3 linked regions of the Callithrix jacchus genome follow. The protein of the gene in region 1 purifies or fractionates together with the protein of each later gene. This does not show direct contact. Links are inferred from orthologs where the notes say so. Each region holds a gene or a part of one and is shown on either strand. Other genes may lie near its edges.

Region 1 (3,600 bases):
GACCTCTACCTCCCGGGTTCAAGCAATTCTCCTGACTCAGCTTCCCGAGTAGCTGGGATTATAGGCATGCACCACCACGCCTGCCTAATTTAGTATTTTTAGTAGAGATGGGGTTTCTCCTTGTTGGTCAGGCTGGTCTCAAACTCCCGACCTCAGGTGATCCACCCACCTCAGCCTCCCAAAGTGCTGGAATTAACAGGTGTGAGCCACTGCCTGGCCAGTGGACAGTAATTAAAAACATTATCTTGGTGACAAGAAAACCAGCTCTAAATCTTGGTTCTCTTACAGTGCCATGGTAGGAATACCTTGAGATTGAACCTCAAGCCCACAGAGATAAGATAGTCAGTGGAGGCCTTCAAATTCAGAAAGATTGATAATACCTTAACATGGTTCCTATTTCTCATTAATAAAATGGATTTGTGTTTTTTTAATTGAAGGTTTCTACGATAAAGACAGTTCAGGGTGGAGTTCTAGCAAAGATAAGGATGCATATAGCAGTTTTGGATCTCGCAGTGATTCAAGAGGGAAGTCTAGCTTCTTCAGTGATCGTGGAAGTGGATCAAGGGGAAGGTAAGTGATTTCTTCTCACCTTATAGGTGTGTAGAGTAACAGTTTAATAAGTTCTTATTCTGACCACCTATTTGGATGTGAGAGGCTTTTGCTACATTGAACCTGTTAAGTTGAATTAGATGAAAATTGGAATATGGTCATTGGCATAATGTGTAATCAATTTTTTTTTTTTTTTATTTCTCGAGTTTTATATGTTCTACTTAGTACATCTAGTGAATGGCCTAATTTGGTTGGGATTTTTGTGGACTCTATAACAATTTTAAACACCTTGGATTTTTTTATTATGCAAGTATGGTGAACTGACCCCACGTGCCTAATAGCTGTGGTTAGTCCTGTGTCCTGATTTTTCGCAAACAGGCCTAAAATTCTAAAAACATCTTAGTTCAAGTAAGGATTATTTTCTACCTTTTATCCAAAATCTGTCACACAGGTGAATTGTCCTTTAGTATAACTAGGATGATTGATATTTGGTGTATTATTTTCTTTTCCCCACCACTAAATATATTTGAATGAGCACTTTAAATGAAGGTTGTGAGCTGTGTGCCCATTTCAGATAAAACCTTGATCCTTTTTTTTTTTTTTTTTAACCTGTGAAGTGAAGGAATTAACCCAAAAACGTCGTTGATTCTTAATTGTGGCATCTATGAGACCTTTTAGGCTATACAACTTTATAGAGATATAAAGGTTACTAATTTTAGAAATGATTTTAGAAATATCAGTAAATGGTATTGGTTAGAGACCCTTATTTGTCAAATAACTCAGAATTGGCTTGTTGACATCTTTGTAGTTAGCCATAACTTAAGTCTCCAGATACAGTTCTAGAGCAGGGGTAGAAATCTGATAATGGTTAAATGATGTGATTCTGATTATTCACTTGTGCTGTTCAGATTTGATGATCGTGGACGGAGTGATTATGATGGCATTGGCAGCCGTGGTGACAGAAGTGGCTTTGGCAAATTTGAACGTGGTGGAAACAGTCGCTGGTGTGACAAATCAGATGAAGATGATTGGTCAAAACCACTCCCACCAAGTGAACGCTTGGAACAGTAAGTTTTTGAAATGTATGTTACTTGTGATGAAGCTTTATTAGCTAGTATAACAAATGAATTTACCAATCTTTTGATTTGAGGGAACTCTTTTCTGGAGGCAACACTGGGATTAATTTTGAGAAATACGATGACATTCCAGTTGAGGCAACAGGCAACAACTGTCCTCCCCATATTGAAAGTGTAAGTATTTTTGCTTGACTTTTTAAGACACGGGGAGATGTAAATGTTTTCATGGTACATTAGAATGTGAGATGGGCTTCATAAAGTCATATGTAGACCAAAGGCTTCATAGGTTTGTGGAAAAGGAGTGAGTTCAGTGTCACCGTTAGAAATAATTTATTACCTGAAATAGAAAATGGGTCAAACACAGGAAGAACCCACAGTCTTCTCCAGTGTAAAGCCTGGGGATTCATTTTTCTCAAAGTATAATATGATAATTTTACTTAAAGCAACTATAAACTGAGTTACAAATTAGCTGTTAGTTGGTTATTTCTATTATCATAAAACAAAAAATGGCTCTAGATAGCATTTCTAACCCCATTGAATTTCTTAACAGTTCAGTGATGTTGAGATGGGAGAAATTATCATGGGAAACATTGAGCTTACTCGTTACACTCGCCCAACTCCAGTGCAAAAGCATGCTATTCCTATTATCAAAGAGAAAAGAGACTTGATGGCTTGTGCCCAAACAGGTAAGCTCAGCCGATAAGAGTAAACATTATCATATTTGTTCTATAAAGGACTAGATAATAAAATATTTTGGTTTTTATGGGCCATGTGGTTTTGTAACTGCTCAAGCACTGCTATTGGAGTGTGAAAGAAGCCATAGATGATACGTAAATTATTGGATATGGCTGTATTCCTTAAGAGCTTTATTTACAAAAATAGTCTGTTTGCTGACTTGTCTTATAGATGGACCAAAGAAGCCACTTTTTGGAAAACTTAATTTGAGCATAAACTAAAAGTCCTAATTACTAGTAATAAGGCAGTTAAACACTGTCATGGGCAGGGCACAGTGGCTTATGCTAGTAATCCCAGCACTTCGGAGGCTGAGGCTGGTGAATCACAAGGTCAGGAGTTCAACACCAGCTTGGCCAACATGGTGAAACCCTGTCTTTACTGAAAATACAAAAATTACGCGGGCATGATGGTGAGAGGCTGAGGCAGGAAAATTGTTTGAACCTGGGAGGTGGAGGTTGTAGTGAGCTAATAAGATCGCACCACCGCACTCCATCCAGTCTGGGCGATAGAGCAAGACTCCATCTCAAAAAAGGGCCAGGGGACACTCATCTACCAATGTCTGTTCAAAAGTAATGAGCAGGGTTTGTTTTGTTTGTTTTTGAACAGGGTCTGGAAAAACTGCAGCATTTCTCTTGCCCATCTTGAGTCAGATTTATTCAGATGGTCCAGGCGAGGCTTTGAGGGCCATGAAGGTAGACATTTCTTTATAAAATGGGAAATTATTGTAGAACTTCAGTCTAATGAAAAACAGTTTTCAAGTGTAATCTGTAAATTACAAAAGTATAGGTGGAGTTAACCTAAAAATTAACTCATTTCTTAGGAAAATGGAAGGTATGGGCGCCGCAAACAATACCCAATCTCCTTGGTATTAGCACCAACGAGAGAGTTGGCAGTACAGATCTACGAGGAAGCCAGAAAAGTAAGTATGAGTTTCAGTGGTTACTAGCTTTTTCATTGATTCTAATTAAATGTTTTATGATCATGTAAAAATGATAGTGTAAAAATTTTGACTTTGAAGTTCATAACATTTTTTTGCTTACAGTTTTCATACCGATCTAGAGTTCGTCCTTGCGTGGTTTATGGTGGTGCTGATATTGGACAGCAGATTCGAGACTTGGAACGTGGATGCCACTTGTTAGTAGCCACTCCAGGACGTCTGGTGGATATGATGGAAAGAGGAAAGATTGGATTAGACTTTTGCAAGTATGTTTTTTGTTTGTTTCTTTGAGATGGTGGTGGG
Region 2 (4,044 bases), on another chromosome or scaffold:
TTGTTTTGTTCAAGTTTCAAATTGCCTTCTCCAGGCAATGCTGATGAAAGTTCAAGTTGCACGTTACTTTGAAGTTTTCTTTTTGCTTTTGCTTTCACAGGAAGTGAAAGGGCGACCAAACACTAGCATTCAGGTCACCAAAAAGAGGAGTGTTTTGCAGTCACGAGACCTGAATTCGAATCACGACTCCTCTTAGCTGCCCTGTAATCAGGTACAATTACTTGGGTCTTTGAATCTCACTTTTCTTATCCAGAAAACGGAGATATCGTTACTTCCTTCCTAAGTCTGTGGTGAGAAATAAATTATCTGTGCATTTTGAAACCACCTAAGCCTTGTGCACATTTTATTTCTGGGATCGCCACTGGTTCCTTGGTAGGGTTTCAGAAAAATATAAAGGAGGTCCCTGAGAAAAGGCTGCGGATCCTTCATCTGAGGTCAACCCTCTCAGGTCCCAAAGATGGCCTGGGCGGTCCCGCCCGGCGGCTCCCGCGAGCCCAGTGCTGGACCAGCCCGGCACCCAGGGGTCCAGGCCAAAATGACCTGCTGTCTTTCAGGTCAAACGTCACAATGCGCCAACCCCAGAAAGGCCGAAAGGCCAGGCAACCCCGAAAGACGACTAAGTCAACACCAGGGCCCAAGGGAGAGGGAGGCTCAGTGTGTGCTGCTGGAGGAGGGAGGCTGGGGTCGGGAGGACGAGGCGCCCCACACAGTGGCAAGGCGGCGGAGGGCAGGAACTCGTCATCCTGGGTGAAAGCGGGGCCCAGCAAAGGGGACCGGCCACAGTAGTCACGATTCCACCCCGCGACTCCCGACTGTGACTCCAGTTCGATCCCTAACTGTCCGGGCCCCTCGCCCCGCCCCCAGCGGGCACTCAGGCCGTACCACTGTGCCTTCATGGGGGTGGACTTAGAGCATGGGCTAATCCTGTAGAGGAGAGAGAGGTTCTTTCTCCAGAAAGTATGATTATGTATAGTATTCACATGTTTTTAGTTAACTTATTTCCCTTCTACCTGCTCGGATCCTCTACGTACCCTAGGAAGTGGGGGGAGTGCATTCCTGCCTCCCCCATGCGCTTCCGCATTTGGTGTGCGCCTGCGCGGTGCGTAGGCGGCAGGGCAGACTTAAGCTTCGACGCAGGAGGCGGGGCTGCTCAGTCCTCGAGGCGTCGGTGTTGTGTAGAGTTGGAATTTCCTTGCTTGCTTGCCTGTGCGCGCGTGCGCGGACATGGCATCAAACGGTAGGTAAGGGCGCGAGGCGGCGGCGGCGGCGCTCCGAGCCGAGTCCTCCTAGTTGGGCTTTTCATTTTCTGTGGGACCGGGGCGGCGATCGCGTGTGGGATTCTCTCGCATCCCTGTGGCGGGAAGCCGCGGAGAGGGGTGACTGGGGGAGGTTGGTGTCGCCATTTTGTTTCGCTCCTCTGGCGCCTAGCGCGCTGGGCGGGAAGTCTTCTCTTCCCAGTCCGTTTGTTTGAGGTGGGCGTGGGGAGGGACGCTTCTTGGTGGTTTGAAGCGTGAGGTGAGGGTGGAAACGCCTGGTCTCCGTGGCCTCGCCTACCCCCACTCCCGGCCCGCGCTCGGGCCCGCTTTGTCGCAGTGCTGCATCCGGGCACTAGCGGCGCGCACGCGCTCTGCGGGCCCCTCCCCCCCTCGTGGCGCTGATACCCCTTCCCCGTCTCGTGTTGGCTCAGCTTTTTGTCGCGAGACCCTTCGCGGAGGACTCGGCGGCGCGCGTCCGGTGTACGCCTTGTTCCTCTGGGGTCCTTCGGGAAGGGGCGGGACTGCTCCGTTCCCGCCTCGGTTGCCACGCGGCGGGGGCGGAGGCTCGGGATCGCGGCCGCGCTCCCGCTTAACGGTTTGGAGGTGGTGGTCGGGACCAACGTATTGTATCGGTGACCCGGCTGGAGAGTTTTTCCCGCCTAATTTTTTTTTTTAGACAGGGTCTCTCTCTTGCCCAGGCTGGAGTGCAGTGGTACGATCTCGGTTCACACTGCAACCTCCTCCTGGGTTCAAGTGATTCTTCTGCCTCAGCTTCCTGAGTAGCTGGCAGGCGTCTGGCTAATTTTTGAATTTTGTGTGTGTGTGTGTGTGTGGAGACGGGGTTTCACCATGTTGATCAGGCTGATTTCGAACGCCTGACCTCAGGTGATCCGCCCTCCTCGACCTCCCAAAGTGCTGAGATTACAGCCGTGAGCCACCGCGTCCGGCCTAAATTTCTTGCTTCTGAGGTGGGGAAGGAGAATAATCTCCATCGGAGGCCACTCCCTCTCCTGGGCCTTTCCCTTTTCCTGCGGGGGAAGCGCCGCGTTTCCCGTACTAGGTGGATGAGTTGATCTTGTTCGTGTATCTTCAGTGGGGCGTTTCAGAACCGCTTTTGCTGCTTTTTGGTCCCCCGGAGCGGGAAGGCAGGTTAGGTGAGAAAACGAACCATCTGGAGCGACAGGACTGGGGAATCGAGTATCAGTCGACTTTCGCCTCCTAAAGCGAGCACTTGGATGATCTTTTTGATTCCGAGGGCTTTGGATCCTGTGACTTCACTAAAAAGCCCACTTAATCTCCGGGGTTGGTCACAATGAAGAATGGCCTTTTTTGAGACATTCTCGTTCTGTGGGTCTGGGTTGAGAGAACGGAGGCCACAGTCTGAACACTGCTTGAATTCAAACCTGTGCCGGTTGGTAGTTCTGCGACTTCGGGCAAGTTAGTCTATTTTGACTCCTGGGGATAAGGCCTTTTTTATAGAATGGATGGAAGTACTGTGCAGTGTTTTAGGGCAACAGTCACTGACATGAATTGGGCTTGCAGAAAGTGGCTGTCCACCGAGACCTTGGTTTTCCCAATGGTTAAGGCTTTTGGGACTCTGTAGAAACTTGCATTTTCTTCTGTTTTCTTTTATTATGAGAACACTTGGCTGATATGCCAGCTTGCTCTTGTCTCATGGGGGAATTGTATGACCTTTTTTGCAACATGGTCCAATTTTTTTCTTTTGAGAGAGTCTCGCCCTGTTGCCCAGGCTGGAGTGCAATGGCGTGATCTCAGCTCCCTGCAACCTCTGCCTCCCAGGTTCATATGCGTCTCCTGCTTCAGCTTCCTCAGTCTGGGATTACAGACGTCCGCCACCATGCTTGGCTAATTTTTTGTATTTTTACGGATTTCACCATGTTGGTTAGGCTGGTCTTGAACTCCTCACCTCAAGTGATCTACCCACCTCGGCCTCCTAAAGTGCTGGAATTACAGGTGTGAACAACCTTGCCTGGCCAACGTGGTCCTGTTTACCCATCAGTGCTTGAGTTAAGGAATTTAGCTTTAATTCAACTCTTTCAGAGTGTTGGCTGAAGATAATGTGATTGTATTTTTCTTTTGCAGATTATACTCAACAAGCAACCCAAAGGTGAGTGCTATTTTTGCGTTTCCAAAGTTTGTAGAGGCCGACGGTGGTCAAGGCCTCTTTTTCTGATCACGCTGGTTTTACTTTTTTCCAGCTATGGGGCCTACCCCACCCAGCCGGGACAGGGCTATTCCCAGCAGAGCAGTCAGCCCTATGGACAGCAGAGTTACAGCGGTTACGGCCAGTCCACAGATACTTCAGGCTATGGCCAGGGCAGCTATGGTTCTTCTTACGGCCAGACCCAGAACAGTGAGTCTCTCTCAGCGAGTCATCTTTTCCTCTACTTTCTGAATGTTGTTTTTTTTCCTTTTTGAGACGAAGTCTCGCTGTGTCACCCAGGCTGGAGTGCAGCGGCGTGGTTTCTGCTCACTGCAACTTCTGCCTTCCTGGTTGAGGTGATTCTCGTTGAGCCCACCCTCCTGAGTAGCTGGGATTACAGGCGTGTGCTACCATACCTGGCTAATTTTTTTTTTTTTTTTGGTATCTTTAGTAAAGATAGGGTTTTGCCATGCTGGCCAGGCTGGTCTCTAACACTTGACGTCATGATCCACCTGCCTCAGCCTCCCAAAGTGATGGGATTACAGGTGTGAGCCACCGCATCCGGCTCTGAATACTGCTTTTGTTAAACCTGAGCAGCATGGAAATGTTGAAACTGTTCCATAT
Region 3 (4,260 bases), on another chromosome or scaffold:
GATATACTTTCCTGCCAGTGTCAGCCTCAGATATCCTAACTTAGTACTCCAGGCAGCCACTTCCAACTATCTGAAATGGCACAGAGAAAAAGCCTTTTTATGGTACCAGGACAGCGTCTGGCTCTGTCACCAGGCTGGAGTGCAGTGGCATGATCTCGGCTCACTGCAACCTCCGCCTCCTGGGTTCGAGTGATTCTCCTGCCTCAGCTTTCTGAGTAGCTGGGATTACAGGTGCATGCCACCACACCTGGCTAGGATGTTTACTTTTTTTTTTTGAAATCTGTTCAACAAAGCTACAAATTGTTAGCGGTTCCTTCCCATTCTAAAAAGCTTTCAGATGAAGGTCATTAGAAATGAGAAGAGCTTTCCCAAGGCCCGACTGGGGCAGTGGGTTGCAGAAACACTTACTTGTGTACCTCTTATCTTGGTACGTGGCTCCTGTCCAGTCAGCAACCTATGAAGAACAACAGGGAAAGACCGAGAACGCACAGGTCAACCAGGCAAGTTTCTGCAGACCCAGCAACCCCTGAAAGCGAGAAGACTGGAAGAGCCTCAGAATTTGCTTGCAACTCTTTTGTAAGAGCCCAGCTCTCCTATGACTACACCCAGAGATGATAACCGTTCTCAGCTGGCAACCCTGTACGAAATACAGGAGTTAAGCTTTCGAGACAATACCATCTAAACAGGGACTTGAGAGTAGCAGCTACAGCTGCAAAGATTCAGACTCCGGCAAGTACCTTTCCTAGCCGATCGCCTTTGCTGAATGGCTGGTAGGGCATATCCCGAAACTGCTCGGGAACCGCACAGGGACCCCAGCCTGAGGGGTTGTCCTGGATCACGGGTGTCATGAACTTTGCCATCTTCCAAAACCTTAAAAATAGAAATGATGTGAGTAGCTGCATGAACGAAGGCCTAGAGTCCAAAAAGCCCTCCATATGAAGTGAGCAAAGACATAAATGATAGAATTCAAAAAGCAACACGCAAAATGGAACCCTTGACTATTGAGCCACTACTACTGTTTTCTTGTAAATGATACTTAAAACTGAGAAGAATGCAAACAAAGCTGATTTACCGTATTTCACTAATTCCAGGGCACTCTTTTTACTGTAACATCTTTAAAATGAGGCTGCACCCGTGCTTGACAGGGTGTCGTACTAATTGGTAGTTTTTCTTTTTTTGTGTTATGTAATAAAAGCATTTAAAGAAATTCAGTTGTGTCACAGATTTGGTACAATGTACTAACTTTTTTTCAAATATAATAACCTTGTTTTGGTTCTCAGACACACTTTCACCAACTCATACAAACTCAACTTCTCTCAGCCTTACTACTCTTTTTCTTTTCTTTTTTGTAGTGGAGTCTTGCTCTGTTGCCCAGGCTGGAGTGCAGTGGCGTGATCTTGGCTCAGCGCAACCTCCAGACTCCTGGGTTCAAGCGATTCTCCTGCCTCAGCCTTCAGAGTAGCTGTGATTACAGGCATGTGTCACCATGCCCGGCTATTTTTTGTTTTTGGTAGAGACGGGGTTTCACCATGTTGTCTGTCCAGGCTGGTCTCAAACTCCTGACCTCAAATGATCCGCCTGCCTCGGCCTCCCAAAGTGCTGGAATCTCTAGCCTGGCCAACATGGTGACACCCGTCTCTACTAAAAATACAAAAATTAGTCAGGCATGGTGGCATGGACTTGTAATCCCAGCGACTCAGGAGGCTGAGGCAGGAGAATCACTTGAACCCAGCAGGCAGAGGTTGCAGTGAGCCAAGATCACGGCATTGCACTCCAGCCTGGGCAACAGAGCAAGACTCCATTTCAAAGTAAACAAATATTTTTTGGAGGTTGGAGAGACTGAGGCTTCCTTCAGAGAGGACATTTGGGTGACAGTAACACAGAATGAACCCAGAAGCTTCATCGTCCTAATAGGAACTATAGGAAGAGGACAGAAGAAAAGGATGGTGGTCTTGAGACACTTCATTTTAAATATTACAAACCCCTACGTGTCAGGCACTATGCCAGATACTTTAACAACATTAACACCCCCCACTCCCACTTTAGAGACAAAAATTTGAAGCTCAGCCTAGTCAAGCAGCTGACCTCACCATTTCAAAACAGATTTGATTTCCTGGGTTGCCTGTTACCAGTACAGCTTTCTTTTCATTATATTACAGCTGGGCAGCCCAGTATCCTGTCTTTTATAGCTTTTTTTTTTTTTGTTTTTTAAAGGAGAGCAGAACGGAACCAGTAGTAGAGCCACTCAGTTAAAACGACAGCTGTATTGGTCACAGGGGCAGGGTAGGGAGGCACCAAGAGGGCAGTCAGAAGGGGCTCGGTGGCTGGCAGGCCACTACACCTCGTACGCCGTCAATCGCTGAACCGAGGGTGGGGAGGTTTAAGATCAGAGAGCAAATCTACTCTTCCATCCTAGCCTCCCGTTTCATAAAAAAGGGAAGGTAACTTCCTCAGAACAGGGACCAAACACCGCTCAGCCCGGCACCCCTAGGACCCCACTGAAAAACTCGGGAGTCTATGGCCAAGAAATACCTTGTGACCCAAATGGGTCACAATCAAAACCCAGCCCATGGGCACTGAGCAGAGCCTAGGGCCAGGGACCTCATCCACTACTGTCCCGCGTCCAGTAGTGTGCGGAACCTGGGGCCCCCGAAGGTGGATTCCTGTCCCGCCCAGTGGAGGGACCACAGCCGCAGGAAGGGACTAAGAGAGGTCTCTTCCGGGAGGCCCCCGAAGGCTGGGCCTAGTCGGAGCCGCCTTCAGAGGTCCGCAGGAACCTATGAAACACGCCGCTCACCTGCAACGGCCTCGGCCGGCCGGGATGGCAACAGATGGTGCGGGCCGGGCACCGCGTTTGCAGCAGCTCCCCGAAAAACCCGGAAAAGAGAAAACATGCGCGCGCAGCAGGCGCTGCCGTAAACACAACCAACGCTGTCGTAAACTGCACCCCTCCCCCCTCCCCGCTTCCTCTGGGTTGGGCGGAAGAACTCACGAGCCGTAAAGCGAGGTTCGCCCGGAAATCCGTTAATGAGCTTTGCGAGGTGTACTCAATAGCTTACTAAGCGTCCGGACGCCAGAGGTGTGATTGCTATTACGTCAGGCGGTATCCCGGGTAGCTCAAAGAGGGTGGCGACCGCGCAATCGAAGCTAGAGGCGGGGAGCGGCTGGCGCCCCTCTGTGTCCTACAGTGCTTCGCGGCACGCCTCGGTCTCCACGTATCTCACAGTCACCCGCGACTCCCCACCTGCTGTATCCGCGTGCTTAGTGTGCTTCTCAGCTCAGGGGGCGGTCGGTCGGGGTTTTAGGCTCAGAGGTGCCAAGTGACCTGACTAGATCACACTGCTAGTTTAGAGTTCTAGCCGCCAGAGTTCAAACCATACTTCCACGGTTCTCAAACTTAATTGTTGGGCAGAGATTTCTGATACACTGTTTTTATTTATTTGTTTAAGACAGCTTTGTTCTCCAGACTGGAATGGAATGGGAGGATCACGGCTCATTGCACCCTCGACTTCCCAGGCACGAGCGATCCTCCCAGCTCAGCCTCCGGAGTAGCTGGGTCAACGCAGGCACGCACCACCACGCCTGCCTGATTTTTGTGTTTTTGGTAGAGATGGGGTTTTACCATGCTGCTCAGGTTTGTCTCAAACTCCTGAGCTCAAGCAGTGTATCCACCTGGGCCTCCCAAAGGGCTAGGATTACAGGCATGGACCATCGTACCCGGCCAGCTAATTATTTTTAAAAATTTTGGGCTGGGCGTGATGGGTCACGCCTGTAATCCCAGCACTTTGGGAGGCCGAGACGAGGATCACCTGAGGTCAGGATTTCGAGACCAGCCTGGCCAACATGGTGAAACTCTTAACTAGCCGGGTGTGGTGGCGCATGCCTCTAATCCCAGCTAATCGGAGGCTGAGACAGGAGAATCGCTTCAACCCGGGAAGCCGAGGTTGCAGTGAACCGAGATCGCCCCACTGCACTCCAGCTTGAGCAACAAAGAGCAACACTCCGTCTCCAAAAGAAAAAAAAAAATTGTTTTTTGTAGAGACAGGGTCTCACTCTGTTGCCTGGGCTGGTTTCTAACTCCTGGTCTCAAGTGATCCTCTTGTCTCAGTGTCCGGAGCAGCTGAGACTACAGGTGCATGCCACCATACCTGGCTAATATTTTTTCCCCCGGAGATTCTCTCTGTCATCCAGGCTGGAGTGCAGTGGCACGATCTCAGCTCACTGCAACATCCGCTTCCCAGGTGCTAGCAATTCTCCTGC

Evidence for each region. The genes of interacting proteins can lie anywhere in the genome.
Region 2: the proteins of DDX3X (region 1) and FUS purify together in Homo sapiens (affinity purification with mass spectrometry; 3 studies listed by BioGRID and IntAct, with this or other methods). This does not show direct contact. The link is inferred for Callithrix jacchus from reciprocal best matches to the Homo sapiens genes DDX3X and FUS.
Region 3: the proteins of DDX3X (region 1) and EIF3D fractionate together in Homo sapiens (co-fractionation; 3 studies listed by BioGRID and IntAct, with this or other methods). This does not show direct contact. The link is inferred for Callithrix jacchus from reciprocal best matches to the Homo sapiens genes DDX3X and EIF3D.

The regions. Positions count from the first base shown.
Region 1 is NC_133524.1:42,180,101-42,183,700, forward strand, and holds part of DDX3X (ATP-dependent RNA helicase DDX3X), read left to right. Parts: intron 1-437; coding exon 438-570; intron 571-1,457; coding exon 1,458-1,616; intron 1,617-1,699; coding exon 1,700-1,799; intron 1,800-2,175; coding exon 2,176-2,311; intron 2,312-2,966; coding exon 2,967-3,052; intron 3,053-3,180; coding exon 3,181-3,279; intron 3,280-3,402; coding exon 3,403-3,563; intron 3,564-3,600. UniProt on the Homo sapiens protein: Multifunctional ATP-dependent RNA helicase. The ATPase activity can be stimulated by various ribo-and deoxynucleic acids indicative for a relaxed substrate specificity.
Region 2 is NC_133513.1:30,693,933-30,697,976, forward strand, and holds the start of FUS (RNA-binding protein FUS), read left to right. Parts: upstream 1-1,152; 5' UTR 1,153-1,224; coding exon 1,225-1,237; intron 1,238-3,359; coding exon 3,360-3,384; intron 3,385-3,475; coding exon 3,476-3,630; intron 3,631-4,044. UniProt on the Homo sapiens protein: DNA/RNA-binding protein that plays a role in various cellular processes such as transcription regulation, RNA splicing, RNA transport, DNA repair and damage response. Binds to ssRNA containing the consensus sequence 5'-AGGUAA-3'.
Region 3 is NC_133502.1:207,478,174-207,482,433, forward strand, and holds the start of EIF3D (eukaryotic translation initiation factor 3 subunit D), read right to left. Parts: upstream 2,893-4,260; 5' UTR 2,798-2,892; intron 871-2,797; 5' UTR 861-870; coding exon 738-860; intron 455-737; coding exon 409-454; intron 1-408. UniProt on the Homo sapiens protein: mRNA cap-binding component of the eukaryotic translation initiation factor 3 (eIF-3) complex, a complex required for several steps in the initiation of protein synthesis of a specialized repertoire of mRNAs.